2 linked regions of the Notamacropus eugenii genome follow. The protein of the gene in region 2 binds, or shares a complex with, the protein of the main gene of each other region. Links are inferred from orthologs where the notes say so. Each region holds a gene or a part of one and is shown on either strand. Other genes may lie near its edges.

Region 1 (12,229 bases), about 170 Mb from region 2:
ACCAAGACAAATAACAGATGAACAGAATAAAGCGCATTATTTTAATGAAAATGTCTAGAAATAATTGAACCTTCTATTACAGACAATGTTGAGCACCACTTCTTTCCCTAAGGACATCAATGAAAATTAATTTTTAATAATTAATAAAATGATACTTATGTCAACATACACAGTTTCATCTACTGATTGACTGCATTCCTGGACTGCTGCTTCCACTACAGATCGTTCAATCATATTTGATGACACTATAAAGACAATTTAAAAGTTAAACTCTTTAAAAACTTTTCAATGTTTAAATTTTAAAATTTAATTAGCAAAATATTTTTTCTGAAAAATATTACTAACAAAAAATTATTTCAATTTTCAAGAAAAATGTTTTAAGGCAGGAGTTCTTAACCTGGACTCTGTGAACTTGGTGCTTATTAAAAAATATTCTGATAACCATATTTTAATATAATTGGTTTCCTTTGTAATGTTTTATTTTATGCATTTAAAAAGCATTTTTCTGAGAATTCCTTCAGCTTCAACAAATTTCCAAATGAGTCAATGAAACAAAAAGGTTAAAAGTCCACATCCCACTTCAATCATAACAGTTTGCTGATTAGTAAAAAGTACCTAGAGTCATTTTACTCCTGTATTACATCTTCAATCACTAGGTAATATGAGCAAAAGTGGCTCCATTAAAATTCTCAGTGGTCTCTTAAGGCAAAATGCCTTCCACATCCAAAGAAAGAACTATGGAATTCAATCACAGAATATAGCAGATCATTTTCTTTTGTATTACTTTTTGGTTTGTTTTACTCCCATTCATTTTAATTCTTCTATGCAACATGATTAAGGTGAAAATGCATTTAATAGGAATGTATGTGTAGAACCTAGATAAAACTGTACGCTGACTCGGGGAGGGAGGGGATGATTTACCCCCTCCCTCCCCAAGTCGGCATACAATTTTTTATGGCAGTGACTGTAGAACACTGAAAACAAATAAAATAAAAAAAAAAGTGGCTCCATTACATTTATAGATTTTAAAATGAGATATAGGAACTTTTTCCACCCGTGTTGTAACAGTATGTTTCTGTCACAGATTTGGTTCTCTTAGCAACAGAAATATATGAGAAAGCAGAATCACTGAAGACCATGGCCAGGGACTACAGATTTGTGACACTACAGATTTGTGCCTGTTGTAATAACAACAGCTTATGTCCATTTAAAAGGGCCAAGATGACTAGCAAAAAGTCCTTTGTTACTATCTGCATTTGGAGGGGAGATCAGCTTTTTTTAATCAAATGGGCATCCAAGGAACTGAGGGGGTGCTTCCTAAGACGATGACACCTTTCTAGAAAATCTGGTGTAATGCTACAATTACTTCTCTTAGTTCTAACAAAATTAAAAGTCAAGAGAAGATGAGAAAAGATAGCAGTAATAGTATCAGCTAAGACTTATACAAAAATAAAAAGAGGCCCTTGGGAAGCAGGCCAAAGTTCAGGTTTAAGACTTTGGCTACTGTCAAATTAGGGAAAGGTGATATCATGGTATGTCTAATAAGTAAAGTACTTTATGCTAAAACAAAATATCACCAAATTTAAGGATCAAATTAAATTTATAACTGTAAACAATTTAAGAATTACTTACAAGGCTGCTTTTCAACAGCATCAATGACACTTTCCAAAGCATCTTCAAGCTCTAATTCAGAGACAGGCTCAAAAGCTTCAGTGAGGTATTTAGTGGCTTCACTAATAAAAGGAAGAAAAAGTAGGAAATTGATTTTAAAAAACAGGTAATTTATGCTTAAGAGCAAAGTACTTTTTAATATTAAAAAATGACTAATTACTAGACTAAAATCACCAATCTATTATTGAAATTTAATCTTGCTCTCCTGAAGAAACCTTATACATCTATGTGACTTCTGCTCATGTTAAAGCAATGGGGCAAGAGAGGAGACAGCATGTGTCAAGCAAGTCACACCACCACCACTAGCTTGACCACAATTTCCCCCAATACCCTGAAGGGGAAAGCCAAGAACCCCGAACCAAAGAGTCTTGGGAATAGCAGTGCCCACCAAACAACCAGACCTGCTTCCAGCACAAACCTCACTGCCATTATCTGGGGAAGCAACTCCTGTGAAGGAGGGGCTGGGCCTCTGTACCTTCCCGCCAACTCCACCCACAGGGTAGGCAAGCCACCTGAGCTGATGAAGCAGGAAAGGTACCCTGAAGGAGAGATGGGAAGAGATATTTGCCAGGATGGTTGGCTGGTTGTTGACCTTCATCCTTGAATAGAACCAAAATGATATCACTATGATAAAGTCAAGTTTCAATGTGTCCGACTGTGGCTGATCAGACCCATACAAGCTCGGAATGCTCTACTACAGATTGGGCACAGAGAGTCTGTGTGAACATCTGTGGTAGACACTCTAAATTTGCACTTCCTATGCTTCCTTTGTGCTGTCTTAATTCTGCTTTGCTCATAGAGCACAGCACCTTCGCTGATGTGGGCACACCATGCTGAGTGGTCCTGTGTCAGTGTCTCCCATATCACACAATCAATTCCAAAGTTCTTGAGAGAGACCTTGAGAGTGTCCTTGGATCACCTCTTTGATTGCAAAATCTACACTAGCTTCACAGTTCTCCCCTGCACTGCAGCCACTCCAGAAAAATGTGTATCCAGTTCTGACTTCACGTAAAATACCAATACCACATCTCCAGAACCCTGAACCCAAAAACCTAGGGACCAATGACATTAAAGAAGAGGCATTAACATCTGTTTTTGCCACTGCACTCTAAGGTCTACAGGATTTTTCCATCTAATTTGCAACTGAAACTTTCCATGTGCTGTGTCCCCCATTAGATTGTGAGCTTATCCCCAGTACACATAGTAAGCACTTAATAAATGCTTTATTCATTTGTTCTGTATAGAACTGAAACTGGGGATCACCCAAAAGGGGGATGAAATGGTAGATGATGGGCCTATATAGCCTGTAATACATTACAAACAAAAAACAAAAAAGGAGCAGTATCAAAGGAGTCATCAAAGAAATGTATGACCAGAAAAAAAAAATGGCTGGATTCATTTCCTAATGACTAGGAGGGATAACCAAAAGGCAGCCCATGTGCTCCACTAGAATGCATGTAACATCAAGAGAATAAAGTAAGGGTTCCTACACCATTGGATGGACTACCCACAGTGAATATAGGAGTAGCATGTAATGAACAGACATGGCTAAGATTCAGTTGGCATCACTGAATCACCCATGTCCCTGATATTATATATACAATGGAAAATCAGAGTAGTTGAAAAAAATGACGTAGATCAAATAACAGACTTTTCAAATGAGCTTAAAATAACATACTTGATCTTTTTAGACATTTTGCATTTAAGACAAATTTCTTATGACTGGGAATTTTAAACACAGACAAAAATTAAAAGTCAAAAGAAATGCTTTTAAAAAGAATTTTAGAAACAGTTTCTACTTAGACTAGGGGTCAGAGAACTATTTGGTAATTCTGTATAAAAATGAAAACTGGATATAAAAATATTTTTAAAATTCACTTCACCCAACCTCTCTGGATCTTTTTTTTAATCTGTAAACACAACCTGCTAGACAAATGATCCCATTCCTACAATATGTCATATGTTTTCACATATACATACATTTTATCTCACTGCTTCTTCCTCTTAGAATCCCTTCCCCACATCCTACCCATCCTTTTAATGCACAGCTCTAATACCTGCATAAGGTTTCCCCTAATCCCAACAGGAAAGAACATTTCCCCACTCTGAACTTCCATAGTACTTTGTATCTTTTATGATACTTTATCATGTTCTACTTAAAGCAATTATGAATAATATCTTGCATCTGTATAGCACTCTACAGTTTTAAAGCACCTTCATAAACAATCTCACATTATCCATTATACTTTGCAGTCAATATGTTGTACTCTTTATTTGCTGAAAAGAACTGAACCTCGTCTTAACAACAAGATTGTTCCTTATGAGCAGGAGCTATTTTAGACTATTTTTCTTAACCCATTGCACCTAAGAGTGCTAGGATTAGTCAGAATTTAAATAAACACTTGTTGACTTAATTCACAAATTTAAATGCCTATACAACTCTTTAGTTATTTGCGAGTTCACAGTAAAATAATTTAATGCTCCATTTTCTTGGCTTAGCCAAGGTTTTTTTTTTTTTAAATTAGTGTATATATATATATATATGTATATTATATATATATATGCACCCAAAAGGGCTATAAAAAAGTGCAATACCACTTCTCTGTATCCCGAAGACATCATAATGGGAAAAGGGCCCACATGTACACAAATATTTATAGCAGCTCTCTTTGTGGTGGCCAAGAACTGGAAATCGAGGGGATGCCCATCAGCTGGGGGATGACTGAACAAGCAGTGGTAGGGGAATGTGATGGGATCTTATGGTGCTGTAAGAAATGCTGACCCACTGCACACAGCTGCAGCCAGGTTGTGTGATGACCAACTGATAGACTTAGCTCTTCTCTTCTCACAATGCAAGGTTCTAAGACAACTCCAAATGCTCCTGATAGAAAATGCTGTCCACGTCCAGAGAAAGAATTAAGGAGTCTGAAAGGAGATCGAAGCACACTATTTGCTCTCCCTTTTTTTTTTTGTTTCTTCTTTCTCGTGGCTCATTCCATTGGTTTTAATCCTTCTTTGCAACATGACTAATGTGAAAATATGTTGAATACGAATGTATATGTAAAGCCTATATCAAATTGCCCGCTGTCTTAGGGAGGGGGCGGGAAATTTAACACTCAAAAGCTTTGTGGAACTGAATGTTGTAAACTAAAAATAAATATATTTTTTTTAAAAAATGGAATATGGCTGGCCAGTTTGTCCTCTTACAACTCAGTGACTTCCTGACCTATAGAATCCTGTTTGGCTTTCAAAGTCCTTCACCACCTGGCCCGCCTTACCTGTCGGCGTCACTGGCTTCTCTCCGTCTCCGGAATCCGCGCCTTTGCACAGTCTGTACTCAGTGCCTCCTCACCTCTATCAAGACTCAGCTCAGACCCCTGCACTGCAGACGGCCCCTGCACTCCCTCGGCCCTGCGGATCACCTCCGTTTATCCCGCACCTGTCGCTTCCTGTCATTAGACTGGAAGATCTAGGACAGCAGGGCTTGTCCTCTGCCTCGCTCTGTACGGCCAGCACCGGTAACAGTGGGCGCTTAATAAATGCTTCCATCTCCCTCCTTCCTCGGGAAGTCGGACTCAGATTTCCCCAGCCCGGGCTGGGGCGCGCCGAGCCCAGATGGGGGGCCCGGGCGTTGTCCGGACCCGCCTCCTTCCCGCACCCCCCCCCCTTCACCAAACGTGCCCCGAGAGAACTCACCCCCGGAGCAGATAGCCCCGCAGTTTAAAGGCAGAGACCACTTTGCTCCGCAACCGATCCGGCGCCATCTTCGGATTTTGGCGCCAAGGCGGCCCAGCCTCCTTCGCCTTCCCCTCCTTTTCCGCAGGACCCGCCCCCAGCCCCGCCCCTCCCCGGAAGTTGTGCCAGCCCCCGTGGCCTCGAACGGAGCGCTGCAGCGCCCTGTCTGGTGGCCCCTCGGTTCGTTTTGACCCGGAAGCGCTTCCTTTCCCCCTTTAAGAGAAAAGTCCTCTGGCGATGTTAACAAAGGCATGCGTTTGGAACGGGCTGGTTTTAGGGTCAGCTACTAGCCAGACTTTTATTTTTTTAAAGGAAGGCTCATCCTGGACTTCAAAAGAGTGAGACACGGCGCTAAGCTGTTTGTACCTGGAAGGCACTATCATGTCCTCACCTTTGCGACTCTAGAATAGCTGTTTTGTTCTAACTTCAGTTCAGCCGCCACCTTGAACACGACGACCTTCGGGGCGCTACCCCGCCTGCTGGGGCTTAGACCCCTCCCGCCTGAGGAGCTGGCATCTAACGACTTGGGACGACCTGTAGCTTTTCCGTATGTGGGGACAGCCGTGGTCTAACGAGCTTCTAACAGTAGGCCAACAACCCCCTTCGCCACAGAAAGGACGAGGTGTTATTTAGCTAGTTAGGTGGAGTCCGATCCAACCTCCCAGACCAAAGCTTAAGGGAGCAGTAGGCTTACTTCCGGTCTGCTACCCTCCCTCTAGCTTAAAAATTCCGACCTTCCCCAGACTCTTCTTCAGCTGGGCTTTGGATAGCTTGTACTATGTCAGTGTCACTGCTCTCTTTTGGTGCATCTTTAACTTTTCCTTCCAAGCGTGGATATTAGTGCAGGAAAACTTGGAAAAGGTACGGCTCTTAAAGAGAACACTTCAACAGCTGTTAGTTACTGCAGTAGCTGTTGGGGTGAAGAGGTAAAGGATCATTCAGGCTTACAATGAACCAGGCTCAGATGAACAGAAGCACGAAGGAAAGCTACTAACCACTGCTATTAAGGAATAAAGGCTCATCCCACTGCTATTAAGGAATAAAGGCTCATCCCAAGCTAAAGATTGAAAAAAAACCTATTTTTAGCTGGTGAAATTTGCTTTTTCATTCAAGGATATACCAAACCATTGTCAGAAGTCTGGGTGAGCCTATATCTGTAAGCTGCTTGCAAGCAGGGATTGTTTCACTCATATTTTTATCATCAATAGCTAGCACACATAATAGACTCCTAATAAATACTTGTTAATTGATCTTCATTAGACTGTAAGACATACAACCAAAAATGTTTTGGGGATTTTTTTTTAACTTATAGCGAAGCTGGAAATCTTGTCCCTGTTCATTATGAACCATAATAGATTGGTGTGCTTAAAAAGCAGAATCGTTCCAGAATTACAGAAATTCTCCAATGGAGATAAAATACTGCAACTTACAATGTAACACATCAAGAAATTTGTCTAAGAGATGTACATAAACGTTGAAGTCAATGGGCTAGGAACTCACCTGATTTAAACTCCATTGAAAACATATGGACTATAATCAAGTCTAGACTTTAAAAAATGAATTATACACTTACTATAAAAAAGGATGAAAAATTTAAAAGTCCATGTCTTCAAGGAGCTTAAAATCTATTTGTGGAGGGAGGGAGACAACATGAAAACAAACTATGTACAAACCATGTAAATTTACAAGTGTAAATTCTCTCAGTAGCTAGGTGGCATGGTGCTGAGGACAATGAATATCAATGTATATCCTTGAATGAAAAAGAGTGCTGATCTTGAAGTCAGTAAGACTCATCTTTCTGAGTTCATATCTGGCCTCAGACACTTATTAGCTGTATGATCCTGGGCAAGTCACGTAACCGTTTGCCTCAGTTCCCCACCTGTAAGAATGAGCTGGAGAAGGAAATGGCAAACCATTCCAGTATCTTTGCCAAGAAAACTCCAAATGAAGTCACAAAGAGCTAGACATAACTGAATTGACAACAAGCAAGAAACCCCTGTTCCAAAGATCATTGATTGGTAGGGGACACTCGCCTTATTCATGGAGATCCATGCCCTGCCCTGTGTGGACTTTACCAGTCCTCCTTTAGGATTCTTCAGAGACTCTTCAGGTGAGAGCCCTCTATCAAGCTTCTGGTCTTCAAGCTTTGAGTCATTGTGGGTGATTCTGGCACTTAGAAATGAAAAATGGGAGAGGCAGTTCACAACTCAGGCTGCTGAAGGAAAAGACTCTGAGAAGATATGAATGGAAACGGCAGTCTTCATCATGTCCCTATCTCCAGCTTGCTACACTAGAGACTACAGTGAGTTTCTCCTTGGATGAGATCAAGGACAGTCTTGGTGGAGCTGAGTTACCTCACTCCCAGTGGAAGAGCTCTTTCACTCTATATTGTTTGATATGTATTCACCTATTTCTCTGATTTCTGTTTTGCTAGGATTTAGATAAATGAGTTTCTTTGCTATTTTTTATGTGTTTACATACTCCTTAGTAAACCTTAAAACACACACATATATTTACAAGTATGCACATATATATATGAATATATAGACAGATACATATACACATAGATATAAGTAAAGAGAGTGATGAGCAGGGCGTAAGGGGTTGTCCTTCCACTCTCTCTTCCAGAGACTGATCTCTGACTGGCTATTTTTATACTCCCCCAAAAGGAGAGGGGTATCCTTGCTGTGAGGCAAGCCAGGTAAGACTGTGGAACCAGAACGTAGGTGTACAGTATTAGTTCTTTCCTTCCATTTGTCTTTCAGATTTGAACGTTTCCTCCTTTGTAAGGGCAATAATAATAATTAGCATTTATACTTTAAGGTTTGCAAACCATTTTCAAAGATCTCATTTTATCTTCATAACACCTGGGAGGTAGGTGCAATTATTGTCCCCTTTTGAGACCAATTGCAATTTGATAAGGATAACTTATTTGCAATTTGATAAGGAAACTGAAGCAGATAGAGCTTAATTGACTTGCCCAAGATTATTCAGTGAATAAGTGTTTTAGGCCAAATCTAAACTCAGGTTTTCATGACTCCAGACCCAGAGTTCTATCCATACCATCTAGATCATCTGTACTAAGGTAGCTAAGTATTACCTCTTATAGGCAACCTATCCCAAGGCCAAAGTTGATATAGAGATTTGCTTTATATCACAGCCCACGCAGTGATCCTAGGCCCACTAGCCAGGACCTCTCTCTCCCTAGGAGCACCATGGGGGAGAAGGGCAATCCTGAATCTTTGCCCCTTTAGAGGATTCTTCTGAGGGGCTGTGTTCTTCCTTCACGGGGAGTGGGAAAAGACTCTTCCTCACTTTCATCTAGGAACACAATATTGTTACCAAGTCAACTAAGGGATTCACTTTCTTCTATGTAAGTTCACATTAACTATAATTAAGTAGAGGTGGTTTTCCCCATGAATGAGCAAATGAAAAAGGATTTATGAAATGCTTACTATGTGCCAAGCACTGTGCTGAGGTTTGGGGTTATAGATATTAAAAGTAATCCAGTTCCTACTCTCAAGACCTTACCTTGTAATAAGAGGAGACAACAGAAAAGAAAGTTCAGCTACAAGGCACATAGAAAGGCCCAGAAGTTCTCAGGGTGATGAGACAGATGAAAAAAACCAGGGATCCTTAGGTAACATAGATGGGACAGATAACAGTACTGGAGACCTTAGGTGTCAATGTCAGAGAAGATGAAAGGCCTGTTGGTCTTGGCATTGGAAAGGAAGGTACCCCTCAACATCTGTACCCCTTGGTCCTCCAAATTCCTTTCTGAGGAGGCATTGTCTAAACATGCTATGAAACAATTTTCCAAGTGAGGACAACCTGAACCATTGGGACCTCAAACTCTTAGCAGCTTCATACTGGGGATAGAAAAGGTAAAGAATATAACCATGCCCAAAAACAGTCCATCTTTACTGGCTAAGTATTATTAAAGGCCAGGGCCAAAAAACTTCAGGACTGAAAAACTTATTCTCTTTCCTAAGATAGGATCAATTTGTCAAGGATATGACTTCTGAGAGTAAGGACACCAATTCTGCTATTCAGAATTATAATGATAAAGCTACTGTTTCAAGATTATACTTTGGGGTCAGAGCCACAATGGTAGAGTACAGGCTAAGAATTCACCTGAACTCTCCAAAATTCCCCTCCAAACAATTTTAAAATAATGCCTCAAAACAAATTCTGAAGTGGCAGGACCAGCAAAAGAAAGGGGTGAAATAATTGACCAACCCAAGACAACTCAGAAGGTTGATAGGAAAGATCTATCTCACTGGGGTAAGAGTGGAGAAAAGTCTAGCATAGGCTGCACCAGTACAGGCCATGCCCCAACAAGTCAGGAGCAGGTCTTGAGGGCTGTAGCTTCCAGAGTTCTTAGTCCACAGATGGTAAGGGTTTTCAGATAGTTGGTCAAAAGGACATTTCAGGGCACCCTTTGTTGGCCCTGGAGGCGGCCTCTGTTGCATTGCCCATACATGGTTCTGGGTCATAGTCTCAGGATTAGGAGGTGCACTAGCAGAAGCAGAGACCCTGGATACAGTTCCAGGGTATAAAAGAGAGCTTGTGGTCACTTACAAACCAGAAAACAGGCCAGGAGAGCACATCACACCACTCCTTAAACCATACCACCTTGGAAGAACTGAAAACTTGTCAACCCCCAGAACTAGCTCTGAAAACAAAAGTACAAAAAATCTGAAGTTTGGAACAGTGTTCTCTCTATGCTGGGAACACAACCCAACTTTAACACAAAGCTAAAAGTCAAGAAATAGGCTAGAAAAGTGAGTAAACAACAAGAAAGAATCTGACCTTAGAAAGTTACTATTATGGCAGGGAAAATCAAAAGGAAAAAACTCAAAAGACAACAATGTCAAAACAGTGACATTCAAAGTATCAAAGAAAAATATGAATTGGTCTCTGCCCTTTCACCCCCCAATTCCCATAAAAGCTTGAAAAGAATTTTCAAAATCAAATAAGAGAGGCAGAGAAAAAATTGGGAAAATAAATGAAAGTGAGGCAAAAAAATCATGAGAAAGGAGTCAACAGCTTGGCAAAGGAGGCACAAAAGGATACCAAAGGAAAAAATGCCTTAAAAAAAGAAAGAGAATAGGCTAAATAGTGTAAAAACAAAAAGGCACAAATATCTACTGAAGAAAAGAACTTCTACTTAAAAAGTAGAATTGACCAAGTGGAAAAAGAGGTACAGAAGTTCATTGAAGAAAATAATTCCTTTAAAATTAAAACTGGACAAGTGGAAGCTAATGATTTCATGAAACATCAAAAAAACCAAAAAAACAACCCAATAAAATAAAATCAAAAATGAACAAAATAAAAGAAAATGTGTTATGTCATTGGAAAAATTACTGACCTGGAAAATGTATTAGGGAGAAATAACTTAAGAATTATTAGACTACCTGAAAACCATGATTAAAAAACATGAAGTTGTTTGAAATTATCCTGGAAAACTGCCCTGATATCCTAGAAGTAAAGGGTAAAATAAATTGAAGTAATGAACTGATCATATTGCTATATATTTGAGAAAAAAGGCCTTTATCAGAAACCCTGGCTGTATACATTGTTTCCCTGCTTTCTACTTCCCTTCTAATCTTGTTTCATTAGTTATGTTTATGCAAAACCTTTTTAATTTAATATAATGTAATCAAAATTATCCATTTTGCATCTCATAATATTCTCTGTCTCTTGTTTGGTCACAAATTCTTTTGTTCTCTATAAATCTGATGGGCAAACTATTCCTTGCTCTTCTAATTTGCTCATGGTATCATCCTTTATGTCTAAATCACGTACCCATTTTGACCTTTTGGTTTAGGGTTTGAGATGTTTGTTTATGCCTATGTGTGGGATGGCTCAGGTCCCTACATAAATCAATTACTCAGAAGCCTCTCAAAGTGATGACAGAAAAGAGATTTATTTGATTCTCAAGAAGTGGGGCTAACCTGTAGGAGTAGGAAAGCCGAAGACAAAGAAAAGGGCAGTGATTTATATAGACCCTAACACAAGTCCCTGCTCCCCCCACTGACCATTATCCTCATTAGCTGAGAATATGATCTTACATTCTAGACACGAAATCTCACCAATCCTTTTTGAAATGAAGACATCGAGGAATTATGTGAGTTTTGTCCAGTCATTGAGACCCTAACACACTACATAGTTTTATATCCTTATATGGAACTATTCTATTCTAAAAGTATTGTAACCTTGAGCCTTTAGGCCTTACCTCACCCCTGGGAGAAGAATTACAATCTGAGACATCTTCACTAAACCTATCCCACTCACCTAGTTTCTGCCATACTTTTCCAGTTTTCCCAGCTGTTTTTGTCAAATATTGAGTTCTTATCCCAGAAACTGAAGTCTTTGGGTTTATCAAACAGTAGATCATTACAGTCATTGATTATTGTCTTGAGTACCTAATCTATTCCACTGAACCACCATTCTATTTCTTACCCAGTAACAAATAGTTTTGATGATCACTGCTTTATAATATAGTTTTAGATGTGGTATGACTAGGCCACCTTCCTTTGCCTTCCCCGCCCCCCCCCCCTTAATTCCCTTGATATCCTTGAGCTTTTGTTCTTCCAGATGAATTTTGTTATTTTTTTCTAGCTCTATAAAATAATTTTTGGTAGTTTGGTTGGTATGATACTGAATAAGTAAATTAATTTAGGTAGAATTGTTATTTTTATTATATTAGCTCAGCCTTCCCAAGAGCAACCGACGTTTTCCCAGTTACTTAGATCTGACTTTATTTGTGTAAAAAGTGTTTTGTAATTGTGCTCCTATAGTTCTGTGTTTGTTGTGGCAG
Region 2 (12,254 bases):
TGCTAGGCCTATACCCAAAGGGTTAAGAGGAAAAAAACTCATACATACAAAAATATTTGTAGTAGTTCTTTTTGTAGTGGCAAAGAACTGGAAACTAAGGGGATGCCACTCAGCTAGGCAATGACTGAATGAATTATGGTATAGGATTTCAATAGAGAAATTTGGGGAGAAATGGATGCAAAGTGAACAAAACCAGGAGTACAATTCATACAATAACAACACTGTAAAGACAAAACAATTTTGAAAGACAAGAATTCTGATTAATTCGATGACCAACTATGAATCCAGAGAAGTAATGATGAACCTACCACTTGAGCTTATAGATTCAAGGGTAAGAATGAGGACGTGGACAACAGGGGAATTTGTTTTGCTTGACTACAGCAACTAATAATAGTTAGCATTTACATACCACTTTACAAATATTGTCTCATTTAATTCTCAGATCAGCCATGGGAGGTAGGTAGTATGAATATATTTTTAACAAGGATTTTTTTTTTCCAAATTGGGGAGTGGAGAAAGAAGACAAAATACTTGTTAGCTAAGAAACAACATTAAATAAACTCAAAAGCTAATTCCTTCTTCACAGTTTCAGGTGGTCATCCAGGCTCTTCTTGAATATTTTCAGAAAGAGGAAGCTCACTTTCCCACAAAGCAACCTCATCTACTGGACAACTCTAGTTGCTATAAGGAGCTTCCTTTGTAGACATCTGCTTTCCTGTAACATCCATTTATGGGGTTCTACTTCTCCCCTCTGGAACCTAGTAAAATAAACCTATTCTCTTTTCTGTAACAGTCAGTTTGGTATTTTAAATACCAGCAATCCTATCCCTTCCCCCACCCCCCAGTCTTTTCATGATTAGGCACACCACAATCCTTCTTCCCCCTTCCAAATTCTTTCAACATTCAACAAATATTCATTCATGACATGACCCAGAAGGCAAAGAATGTATTTGTGAAAGAAGAATTAACAAGGCTGAATGATTAGTGGGAAAATTTTGAGGTAATAATTTCAAATAACTGTCAAGATTTGACAATATTTAATCCATGAAAGCAGTGTCATGAGGAACAGAACTGCAGAGCTATTTCTGATACTTGAGGAGCACCTGCTGGCCACCCATGGAGCTGCATAACTCACTTTCTATGGTTCCCATATTACAAAACATGGAAGACTCAATGAAGAGGTCAGTTCTTTCCCAATAGTCACCACGAACAGATGTGGAACAGCAAAAGGCAACAATTTTAACAACATTCTTTATTTATACAAATCATTATATTTCCCTCCCCCCAAACTGTCCCTATAAGCCACAAATAAGTCAATGGTAGCAGACTACATTTGTTCACCTGTCATACTCCATAGATCAAAAAAATTAAAGCCGACTATGGGGAGAAGTTGGCAAGAATCTTTACCCCCAATTCTCAAGATGGCTCTTAATAGAGGGACTGAATGTGGTCACTGTAGGAGCCCCCTCTGGCTGAACACATTTTTTTTTTGCCATGGGGATAAAGGTCTTCTAGGAGCTACCAACTTTCACTCAACTTGAAGACAAAAGTACTTGGGAGTGAATGGAAGGGGAGCCTAAGAAAAGATGAAGGCCCCATCAACACCACTTTAGAAAAGTGGTTTACTAGAATTATATTCTGAAGCATCATTATATTTTATAACAGTTATTCTATCAAGCTGTCTTTAAAAGACAAGAGTCAATACTCTGGGATTGAAAGAAAACCTTACATTTTTTAAATTAAGCTAGACTGACTGTCATAAGTTAGCAAAGCAAAACAGTCTGGAGAGAGTAACTGTGTAGTACCTGGTGGAAATGAATTTTGGGGCTTGTCACCTGCTAAATAAAAGAGCCAAGCTCTAAAAGGATGAGACACCTGTGAGGTTCACTACAAAACCAAAAATAAAGGGACTACGTATACAAAAAAAGTCTGTTTTCAAACTGTTGTTCAGTAGGCAGGGGAAGGGAGAGAGAATTTTGAGGTGAAATACCTACTTTACATTAAACCCAGCACTCCACTAATATAGTGAAATGCACATTTCAAAACATGTACAAAGTGCAAAGTAGGGTGTGGCAAATAGGGACCAAGCTCCAAACTCAGCAAGACACTAGGTGAAGGAAGCCTCAGGAAGAGAAGATCACAAAGCAAAGAAAGCAGAATTTTGCTGAAAGTTACTTTCAAAGGAGTGAGAGTTGCATTCTCTACCCCACACTTTTTTGGATATTCCCCCGGATCCAGAGTGCCTCGACTACTCTTTCAACGAGCGATGTCATTGTCAGTCATAGGCTAACTCATGCTCAGAGTTCAAACATCTCCAATTTTCAGCTGCCTCTACACCCTCTAAATAATAGCTAGTATGAAATGTGGGTCATAAAACAGGAAGTGAAATATATGAATCTTCTACATTTTTTCCCACAAAAATTTGATTAAATGGCAGTTCATAACCTACCTTGTCAAAAGGTCAGTTTATAAACTATGAAAATGAAATTGGAAAGATCTCATTCAGAAAAACTCTGGTTTGGGGATTATTCAAGAAGTATTCCTAGGTCCTCATATGGAGGCATTCTTAGCAGTGGAGGAAAAGGCCACAGAATTCTCTGTCAAACAGTACAATGGAGGCAACAGTGCTGAACCCCAAGTTTCTTATCATCTGACTCCACATTCTCTCCATGAAGCTCAATTGTCAACCTCTTCTTCATCATTCTGCTCCTCTTCTTCCATTCTTTCATCATCCTCATCATTATCATCTTCCCTGCTCTTGTCTTGCTCCTCAGAATCCGTTCTTTTGTCTTTATCCTTCTTTTTTTGCTCTGAAGCTTCCTTCTTACCTTTCTGTTCACGTCTATATGCTAGAAATAGAAGAAAGCTATAAGGCAAGGCTAAGGGCTTGGAGACAGGTTCAAATGAAGACACATCTATATATATACAATACTGTATTTAAGTTCATCTGGTTAAATTACATGACCATCACTTTACAAGGAGCTATGTCTACCCGCCCAATAAAATACACCAGTTGTTACCATCTAGTGCTTCTTTCAAAGGGGAAATGAATCGCTGAAATTCCATCTCTTCCATTGCTGATAGCACATCACCAGCATTTAGGGTCTTTCGTTTTCCTTTCATTGCAAAGTTGTTTGCACTTAGAAAAAAAAAGAGAGATGAATTATCTTGGCCATGTCTTACTTCAAGACATTTAAAGACAATTAACAGGTACATGTAAGCAAATCTGATTGCCTGACCAAGCCCACATCTAGGGAGACTACCTGTAGTCTCAAACTTTAACCTGTAATTACAAATCCCAATTACTCTAGTCTGGTAAAGAAAGAGAAGTGTGAAAAATACCAGATGCAGCCCTCTTAAACCATGTGAAGCTTGAAGGGCTACCTACTTCAAAGATGATGTAGCAGGGAGCACATCATAAATATTTGCTCTTATTATTACTGACCATCTTTTCACCTCCTTATTTTACTAATAAAGACATAGAAACTGAAGCCTAAAGAGAAGCTGACCTTTGAGATCAGACTAGTGGCTCTCTCCTAAAATCAATTCAGAGGGTCCATGAAGTCAACCTTATTTTCATAACACTACATTCAAATTTTCAATACAGTAAACACTGATAGGGATACTTTGCTCCTACAGAGGACTGGGGGTGGCTAAGCTCATTTCCTGAGGGAGGCAACATAGCATAATGGAAGGAGTACTAGCGCTGGACTAAGAGTAAGGAGAGTCCTAATTCTGTTAATTGGTTGTGGGACCTTCAGCAAATCTTTTCATCACCAAGTTTCTGTGAGATCAACTTCAGAATGAAGCTGTACTTAAGTTCAAGTTCAAGTCAACACATTTCCTAAGTGTCTTAAATGTGTAAGACTGAGCTAGGTGCTAAGAGAGAGGCTGTCACTGGACCTATTATGAGTTCATTGGTATACGGTACTCTCAGTGGAGGAAAACTTTCTCTAGAAAGCAAGTCCACCCCTTCTCTGAAACTTTATTTTAGAGAGCTGCTTAGGGCACTAGGAGAGATTAAATGACTTGTCGAGAGTCCCACTGCTAAGTTATGGGTCAGAGGCAGGACCTGAACCCAGGTCTTCCTGATTTCTGACTTTCTCTCCAGGTATAAGCCAAGAAGCTTTTGGGGATACAAAATCCAACAGAAAACCGTCCCTGCCCTCAAAGAGCTTACATTTCTACGGTGGAAATACTAAATGCGGACACATATATACAAAAAAATAACCTGATGGGGGTAACTAGGGGAAGGACGGAGAAGCTTCTTGGACGAGGGCTGGGGATTTAGGGGAGGTACGTGGAGGACACCCGGGAAGGGGGGCCCGACAGCCCCGGGTCAGGAAGGGCAAGCAGCCCCGCCGGGGATCTGCCGCGGCCCGAGGCTCTCACCAGGACGTGGCGTACAGCACGAACACGCTGGCAGCCCGAGAGATGGCACTCCGGGCCTCTTTGGAGATGTTGACGCCGTCGGGGAGCTGCAAGGGGAGACGGCCCCCGAGTTAGTGGGGTGGCCCCGGCCCCCGCCCCGGCCCGGCCCCCGCCCCGGCCTCGGCCCCGCTCACCGCCTCCTTGATGATCCTGGTGATGACGGCGTTGGGAAGGTTCAGGTCCTCCGGACGTTCCGCCATGGCCACCGCGCCTCTCGTCTGCCCCGGGACAGCCGCAACCACGCCGCCGCCGCCGGCCTCCGAGACAAGGCGGCAGTTGCGGCCCGGACCTCCGCCGGCCGCGTCGCTCACCCAGGTCGCCTCTCCGGCGTCCGTACTTCCCGCCCCGGAGCGCGTGTCCCGCCTGGGCTTCCGTTCGTACGCCCGCCTCCCAGCCCCAGCGCGTTCCACGCCCTCCCGGAGAGGCGCCGGCCTCGTGCGTTCACGCCTGGAGACTTCCCCCGATGAGTTTCGGCCAATCCAAGGCCCGCCTGGCCGGGTCTGGAAACCGGAGAGCCCCGCCCTTCCCGGCGGTCCCCCAGGGTGCAGCGCGCGGTTGCCTAGAGACTCTTTTAATCCTGTCAGGGTCGCTCCGACGTAGAGGAGGCTGGCTTAGCCTAGGTCTCAGTCGGGCGGGGTGGCTTGGTCCGTGCTGCCGTTCCTCTGCGGCTCTCCGAGGGCAGGGATCCCCTGCGAGCTGCGCTTCCGCCTCCCTCCTCGTGGGGCGTCCTCCGCGCCTCCCCTCCAGCCTTCGCCCTTGGCGGTGCTCGCTGACCGGGGTGCTGCTTCATCCTGACTCCCGGTCTCTGCCTTGTGCCTGCCCCGACCTCCCTCTCCGCCGTTCTGTTCCTCCCTGTGCCCCGCCTGATCCGCACCGTCCTGGGTCTCTTTCCTCCCCAGCCCTGTCCCACCCCGCCTCCGCTGTGCCGTCCTCTGAAGCCTGCCCTGACCCCCCCCCCCCCCCTCCCCGAGCATCCCATGTCCCGCACGCCCCGCACTTCTCCATCTTACTGCAGCCTGCCTCCTGGCTTGCGTTGCCTTTTTGAGACCTTGCCTGGCATTTGCTTGGTGCAGGGAGCTCTCGGTGAGGACCGTCCTCTCCCGGGGCAGAGCTGTGATTTCTCTGCAGTTTATCCTCTTAGTTACCCAGAGTCCTGCAGCCTCCGTGTCGGAGGCAGGGTTGGAGTCCAGGCGGTGTGGACTCTTAAGCCGGCTTTCTGTTTGTTCACTCTCTGCCCTTGCTGCTCCCCTCCTCCTTTGGTCTGATCTTCCCAAGGTTCCGGAATCTTTTCGTCTTTAAGCTTGTCTGACTCCCTGATTTTCTCCTTTCTTAGAAGAATCTCAGGACTAGGCTTCTGCTTCCTTTAACTGTAGAAAAATTTCCACTGGAGACTTTTTTTTACTTTTTTTTAGATATTTTAAGTAATACACAATTATTAGTAGCACACACCATTATGGATAGTATATTAACAAGCTTGTGTGGTGAGGAAAAATGAAATGACATATGTGAAAGTGTTGAAAAATAGAACATGTCGTATAAATGCAAGATAATGACTTATTAGGATTTGGAATTGGAAGGGAATTTATAGATCACTCTTTGACCCCTTCATTTTGTATATGAGAAAACTGAAGTGGAAAGAGTGGAAATTGCTTGTCCAAGGTCACAGAATTAATAAATAGTGAACTCCATCTTCAAACCCAGGTCGCCTGACTCCACATCCAGTGTTATTTTCACTACCCCTTGTTTATCTGCCGCTGTATCAGTATTGTATCAGTTTGGTGGCTGTTTGCGGTAGGGAGTAGACACTTTTTAATTTCACTAATGATTTTTGGATCATCTGCTCCTTTGGTCTCCATTCTAACGCATCTTTTTTTGAGGCGACATAGATATTCACAATCAAATTAAGATGTGGGCTACACGTTGCCATGCAGATATAACTAATGATACTGTGTCATATTCCCTAGCTTATTTAATTCTTGTTTCCGTAGATGGCTAATGATCTTGAGGTTGGTTTCTGCTGTAAATCTGTGATAAATATCGAATTGCCAGATGTCAGTCAATGGGATGAGACTACCTGTCCACAACTTGTTTGCCAGCATCCACAATGTTGGGCAACAGTCCGAAGGCTTCAGAGGGGTCATCCTCGAATTCTTCAACCAATTTCCAGAGCTCCTAAGAAAAGTGAAGGTGAACTGACAATACCCTTTCATATTTGTCCAAAGACCCATATATGTGGTATATTTGGCTTCCTTTCTGACTAGTTTTTAATATGGTCTGCATTTCTAGATGAACTGCCAACTCTAAAGATAATAGATTTATCTTTACCTGATTCTTCCATTTTGGCCAAGAGAATCGCTGATTCAGCCCCGTTTTTCAAGCATCCTTGTTCTTTGACTGGAGACTCTAAATTTGATTCGGATTTACAAAGCAGGTGACTCATCATGAAAACACCAGAAACCATGTGTCTCAGGATCCCAGGTGGTTATTTTTTAGAGCCATGCCCCAGAATTTGCCATGCCAGGTTAAGAAACAGTGAGCCTACCATGGGAAGAACTATTTCTCACTAACAAAATGAAGTGGTGAGTTGATATCGAGGCAAGAGAAAGAAATATTTCCCTTTTTTGGGTTCCAATAGAAATGCTAAACTGAAGTGTATCTGGACAATTGCTTCAAATAGGTTAAGAATTTTCAAGATGTTAATTATTTGGATTAATTACTTCATGCTTGAAACTATATTGTAAGCTCTGGGAGACAGAGAGGTGGTTTTTGCTTTCTTGGATGTAACATTGTAACTGGCACATAGTTAACTAGGTGCACAATAAACACTTGAAAGTGAATTTTCTTGGAGTCAAAGTATGGGTGTTGGGCCTTTTGATATACTTCATAGTGATTAGTTTTTCCTGCTCAGTGGTGCCTGGTGGGCTCTAGGAGATAGGGTAAAATTAAGGAAAGGATAAGATGGCTTTCAGGTTCTCTAAGATTTGAGCTTTGGAGAAAAGAATGGAATGCTGCTTCTCCCACTGTGTGAAGGTGGACATGTGGTTGGCATGCATTCACACTTTTCTCTTGGACTAAAGCTATAGTGCAGAGTTGACAGGGAACTGCTATATCAAGTCAATCTTGTCAATTCAGCTGTATTAATGTATGTCTTATCTATCCCTTGCTTTCCATTTCTATGGCAGCTGTATTAGTTCAGACCCACAGGGCACCAACTCATGCCTGGACTGTGGGAATAACTTTTTAATTGGTCTCTGCCTTTTTTCAGTCCATTTTGTACACGTAGACTAGATTGATTTTCTTAAAACACTAATTAGCATGTCTTGCCTCCAACTAAAATTTTTCACAGGCTTCTTAGCACTTACAGAATAAAGCCAAAACTTGAGTTTGTCATTCCAGGCTCTTCACTCCATTTCCACTTTATCTTCTACTGTTTTCCTACCTGAACCTTACTCTTTAGCTCAGCTAGTGTACCCATTGTTCTCTGATCACGCAATTCTGATTTTCACCTCAGTGCCTTCAATTATATTGTTTATACTACTTGGCGTGTGTCCTCCTAGGCCTCTCAGCTTATTTGTATGCTATCCTTTTAACAGCTATAACTGCAAATTGTATTTATTGCTTTGAGACTTACAAAGCCCTTTCTTTAGGTCAAACCTATGAGGGAGGTATTTTAAATATTCCCATTTTATATATGAGGGCACCTGAGGCTGAGAAAAGGGAAGTACTTTGCCCATGGTTACAAATCCAGTAAGTGAGCTGTGACCTGAATCCAGATCTCCTGAGTCCAGTTTGACGTTCTCTCCATCTTCCTGAACTGACTTTCTAGACCCAGTTCTCTAGTCTCCATGAAATCTAACCAGATTGTTTTCTTTTATGAGTGACTGTCTTGCCATTTCCTCAGAACTCCTGTAGCAGCTAGGTGGAATGGTGCATAGAGGGCCTGGAGTCAGGAAGATGTATCTTCTTGAGCTCAAATCTGGCCTCAGACACTAGCCCTATAACCCTTAAGTAAGTCATTTAATGCAGTTTGCCTCAGTTTCCTCATCTGTATCATGAACTAGAGAAGAAAATGGCAAACCACTCCAATATCTCTGCCAAGAAAACCCCAAATGAGGTCATGAAGTTGTATATGACTTAAAATAACTGAACAACTACTCACTATATAGCTAACACATTCTGCCTTTGATTTATCACGTACATTTCCTATCCCAGCTAGAATAAGTCTCTTGAGGATAGGGACTGCATCTTATACTTCTGTGCCCTATATGTAGGAAAGGTTCCACATCCACACCTGTCTGTTGGTCACGCTACATTTCTTTGCTACTGGATTAGGAAGCAGAGATTATTAAAAAGGGAAACTATAAAATACTGAGGTATTATGTAGAAGTGTTACTGCTATAAGCATGAGGAAGGTTGTTCCTCCAAGATCTTCCCTGCACTAGCCTTTATTTTCCTCTCGCTTTCTCTAATAACTTTTATGTCTGTTTCAGTTTGGAAGAACCACATTTATTAGGACTCAAATCTCTGAGAGGTTTCCATGGTCAGGGTTTTCCCCAGAAGTCTAGAAAACCTGCCAAAGTAAGTCACAAAGAAAAATAATCCACAGATGTAGCATGTATAGTATGTCTCTCCAGCTGAACTGCATAGCACAGAATAAAATGTGTTGCCTCTGGTTAACACCCTATATTCTTGTGTGGGCCGTTAGGTGGCGCCATAGTGCATAGAGTGCTGGAACTGAAGTCAGGAAAACTCATTTTCCTGAGTTCAAATTTGGACACTTAATTAGCTGCGTGACCCTGGGCAAGTCACTTAACCCTGTTTACATCAGTTTCCTCATCTGTAAAATGAGCCGGAGAAAGAAATGGCAAATCACTCCAGTATCTTTGCCAGGAAAACTCCAAATGGGGTCATGAAGAGTTGGACATGACTGAACAACAATATTATTGGGTAGTATCTTGTTTCATGACCAAAGAGAGCCCTGACCCCTGAGGTATACAGATAACTTGGGGAGATCGTTGATAAGAAGAAATATATATGCATATACACATGTATATGCATATATATGTAAAGTTATTAAATTATTGCTAAACAGGGCCCAGGGCAGTTGCCCTGGGCTGAGAGAGGACTTGATGATTTGGGAGCAATGAAATGGAAATACCTCTCTAACTCTCTAGTCAAACAAAAGGAGGAGATTTGCAGCTTCCTTAGTTTAGTTTATAGTATCCAATGGGATACTATAACACACACATATGCACATACCACATACCACATAGGGTTTCAGATCCCAGGAGTGGTGGACAGGTTGCAAAGAGAACATAGCACATTGCATTTGCTTCCCTGATTGTCTGCATAGGTCTAGAGTTGTCTCAACCCCTGCTCTTGGGGATAAGTCCTGGGGAGGATGGGCAGTATAATTGGTCTTCATGGAAGGAAGCTGATAATCTTGTCCACAGAAGCCCACTCAGATGTTTAAGGATGTTGAACAAAACAGTACTCAGTATTAGACTCTGTAGGGGAGAAGTATCATTCATTTAATGGACCACTAGATTTAGTCCAAATCCTGACTCCCATCACATAATTTGGATGTAACCTATATCGAGTTATATAATCTCACTAAGCCTCAGTTTTCTAATCTATAAAAATGATGATACTTTGCGTCATAGCTTTGTTGTGAGGTTCTAATGAGTATGTATTTGTTCCTTATATATGCATATATATTGCTCTGTAAACCATAAATCACTATATCAGTGTTAGCTATTATCATTGTTATTATCAATCTCCCTAACTGACTCCGTGCCATTTGGTTACTCATCTGGAGCTCAGCACCTGGGCCTTATAAGCCCAGGGGCAAATGAGCATTGCTCATATCTTTTCACTTTTTGTTACAGCTCCCAGTGCTGAATTTGAATGCAACACGTCTTCCAGAATGTTTGGATGGTGGGAATTTGTTTATGGTATGGATCCCAGATGAACAAGTGAAATACAAGAAATCTGATCAGAAGCATAGGACAAAGTGAGCACTGTTCCTAGCCTTGGGAGTCCTTAGATCTTATGCTTGTATGAAACTTCTGGAGATTCTCTACCTCTAGGTTTCTCTCTGGTAACATTTTTTTTTTAGAACAAAAATTTAGAATTGTCTCCCCCCTTTTTCTCCCCCTACTTGTCAGGAGTAATCAAAGCTGTGCTTCCTTTAGGTAGATCCTTTGCTTAGCCTTTTCACCTCAACCCTAAAACCCAGTTGTACTTGTATAGAATAACTCTTAAATACTACTTTTGTACAAAACAAAGTGTGCTACAGTTCCACATAGGAAAAAGTAAAAAGATTTATTGACGTCTACAGCTGAAATAGGAAAAGGATGACTCTTATGTCTGTTGGGGCTCCCAGGCTCTGATTGAGGGATGTTAAAGTTGATAAACAGTGAAGAAATGACCTGACAAACCAGACCCTGTCACTTTGATACATGCTTTTACTTAGCAGCTTCTTCAGTGGCCTCACTTTTGCATAGCTGATGTGTGAGAGAGAAATCGCCACCATTCTCAGCCAGCATTATGGATGAGATCTCATCATTTTCTGACTAATCCTTGTTTCTTGTATTTAAGGTATCTGGGAGTGGGTAGTAAGAGAAGTACCAGACAGCTTCTCATTCCTAGGCCTCTTCATGCTTTAGTTTCCTTAGACTGAGCCCGGATAAGAAATCATTTGTACCCTTGAAGATCAGCAAAATTATGCCATGCCAGGAGTGGATCACCAAGAGAGCAGCTCCGAAGGTTGTAAACTGTGTTTAGTTTTACTGATTAAAGTGTTGATGCTTTTGTTCTGTTAGTTTAGACTTTTTGTCCTACCAGTTCTCCTCAGCTCCCAATTAAGGAAAGGATCCAGGAGACATCCTCCAGTTGGAGCCACCAAACTTCTCTTCATTCCAAGTCTCTTCCATTATCTACTTATGTTTATCCATCTGGGGAGAAAAACTTTATTTGTAGATCTTTCTAGAGCAGACATGCTTAATTGAGTGCTAGGGGAGAGGACATAGGGTTACCTGGTTACCAGAGTGAGACAAAAATGATGTTGTATGGGAAGTGAGAAGTTGTGAAAAATAAAGCAGGAATTGTGCTTCAAAGGAAGGAAGGACCAAGTTAGGATTAGTGTTATAAAGCTAGCATGTGGATTGAAGAAGTGCGAACCCTAGGGTGGTGATAGGAAAACGAGGGAGTTGTTTTCACTATTTCTCTTCAAGAAAAAGAAATCAACAGGAGTCCCTACTGGTGGGCAGCCCTGTACTACGCAGCTGATGCATCGATGGCTAAGGGTGCCCCCACCATCTCCAGTCACCCCACCTTCACATCTGGAATCCTTGTCTTCCTGGGCCTTCACATTTCCCAAGCATTCATTAATGAGGTGAGCTTTCCTTAGAGCATAGCATGGTGTAATGTTGCTTTTGGAGTCAGAAAGATTTGGGTTTGACTCCTCCTTCTGACACTTATTAGCTGTTTGACCTTAGGAATCACAATCTTTCTGTAGCCTTAGTTTTTCCTCTGTAAAATGAGGATAATAATTGCACCTATCTCATAGGATTATTGACAGAATTGGATGAGATAATGTATGTAAAGCACTTTGCAAGCCCTAAAGCATGAAATAAATGTTGAGTTCTTCTCCTCTTCCCCCTTCCCTCCCATATCTCCTTACTGTCCTCTTCTTCCTTCCTTGCTCTTCCCCCAATTTCTCTTCCTTCTTTTCTCTCCCTCCTCCTCCTTCTTCTCTGTGAAGACCAAAAGGTGAACCTGCTTCTTTCTGAGTCAAGAAGGATAAGTACAATGTGTGTCCC

What was found.
Region 1: POLE3 (region 2) and POLE2 share a complex: the UniProt entries of both Homo sapiens proteins name them as parts of the DNA polymerase epsilon complex. The link is inferred for Notamacropus eugenii from reciprocal best matches to the Homo sapiens genes POLE3 and POLE2.

Annotation. Positions count from the first base shown.
Region 1 is NC_092872.1:309,329,436-309,341,664, reverse strand, and holds the start of POLE2 (DNA polymerase epsilon subunit 2), read right to left. Parts: upstream 5,494-12,229; 5' UTR 5,436-5,493; coding exon 5,368-5,435; intron 1,734-5,367; coding exon 1,633-1,733; intron 246-1,632; coding exon 170-245; intron 1-169. UniProt on the Homo sapiens protein: Accessory component of the DNA polymerase epsilon complex. Participates in DNA repair and in chromosomal DNA replication.
Region 2 is NC_092872.1:478,310,845-478,323,098, reverse strand, and holds POLE3 (DNA polymerase epsilon subunit 3), read right to left. Parts: upstream 5,293-12,254; 5' UTR 5,250-5,292; coding exon of another isoform or gene 5,207-5,249; 5' UTR 5,206-5,206; coding exon of another isoform or gene 4,895-5,205; 5' UTR 4,632-4,894; coding exon 4,566-4,631; intron 4,479-4,565; coding exon 4,393-4,478; intron 3,140-4,392; coding exon 3,021-3,139; intron 2,850-3,020; coding exon 2,677-2,849; 3' UTR 1,238-2,676; downstream 1-1,237. UniProt on the Homo sapiens protein: Accessory component of the DNA polymerase epsilon complex. Participates in DNA repair and in chromosomal DNA replication.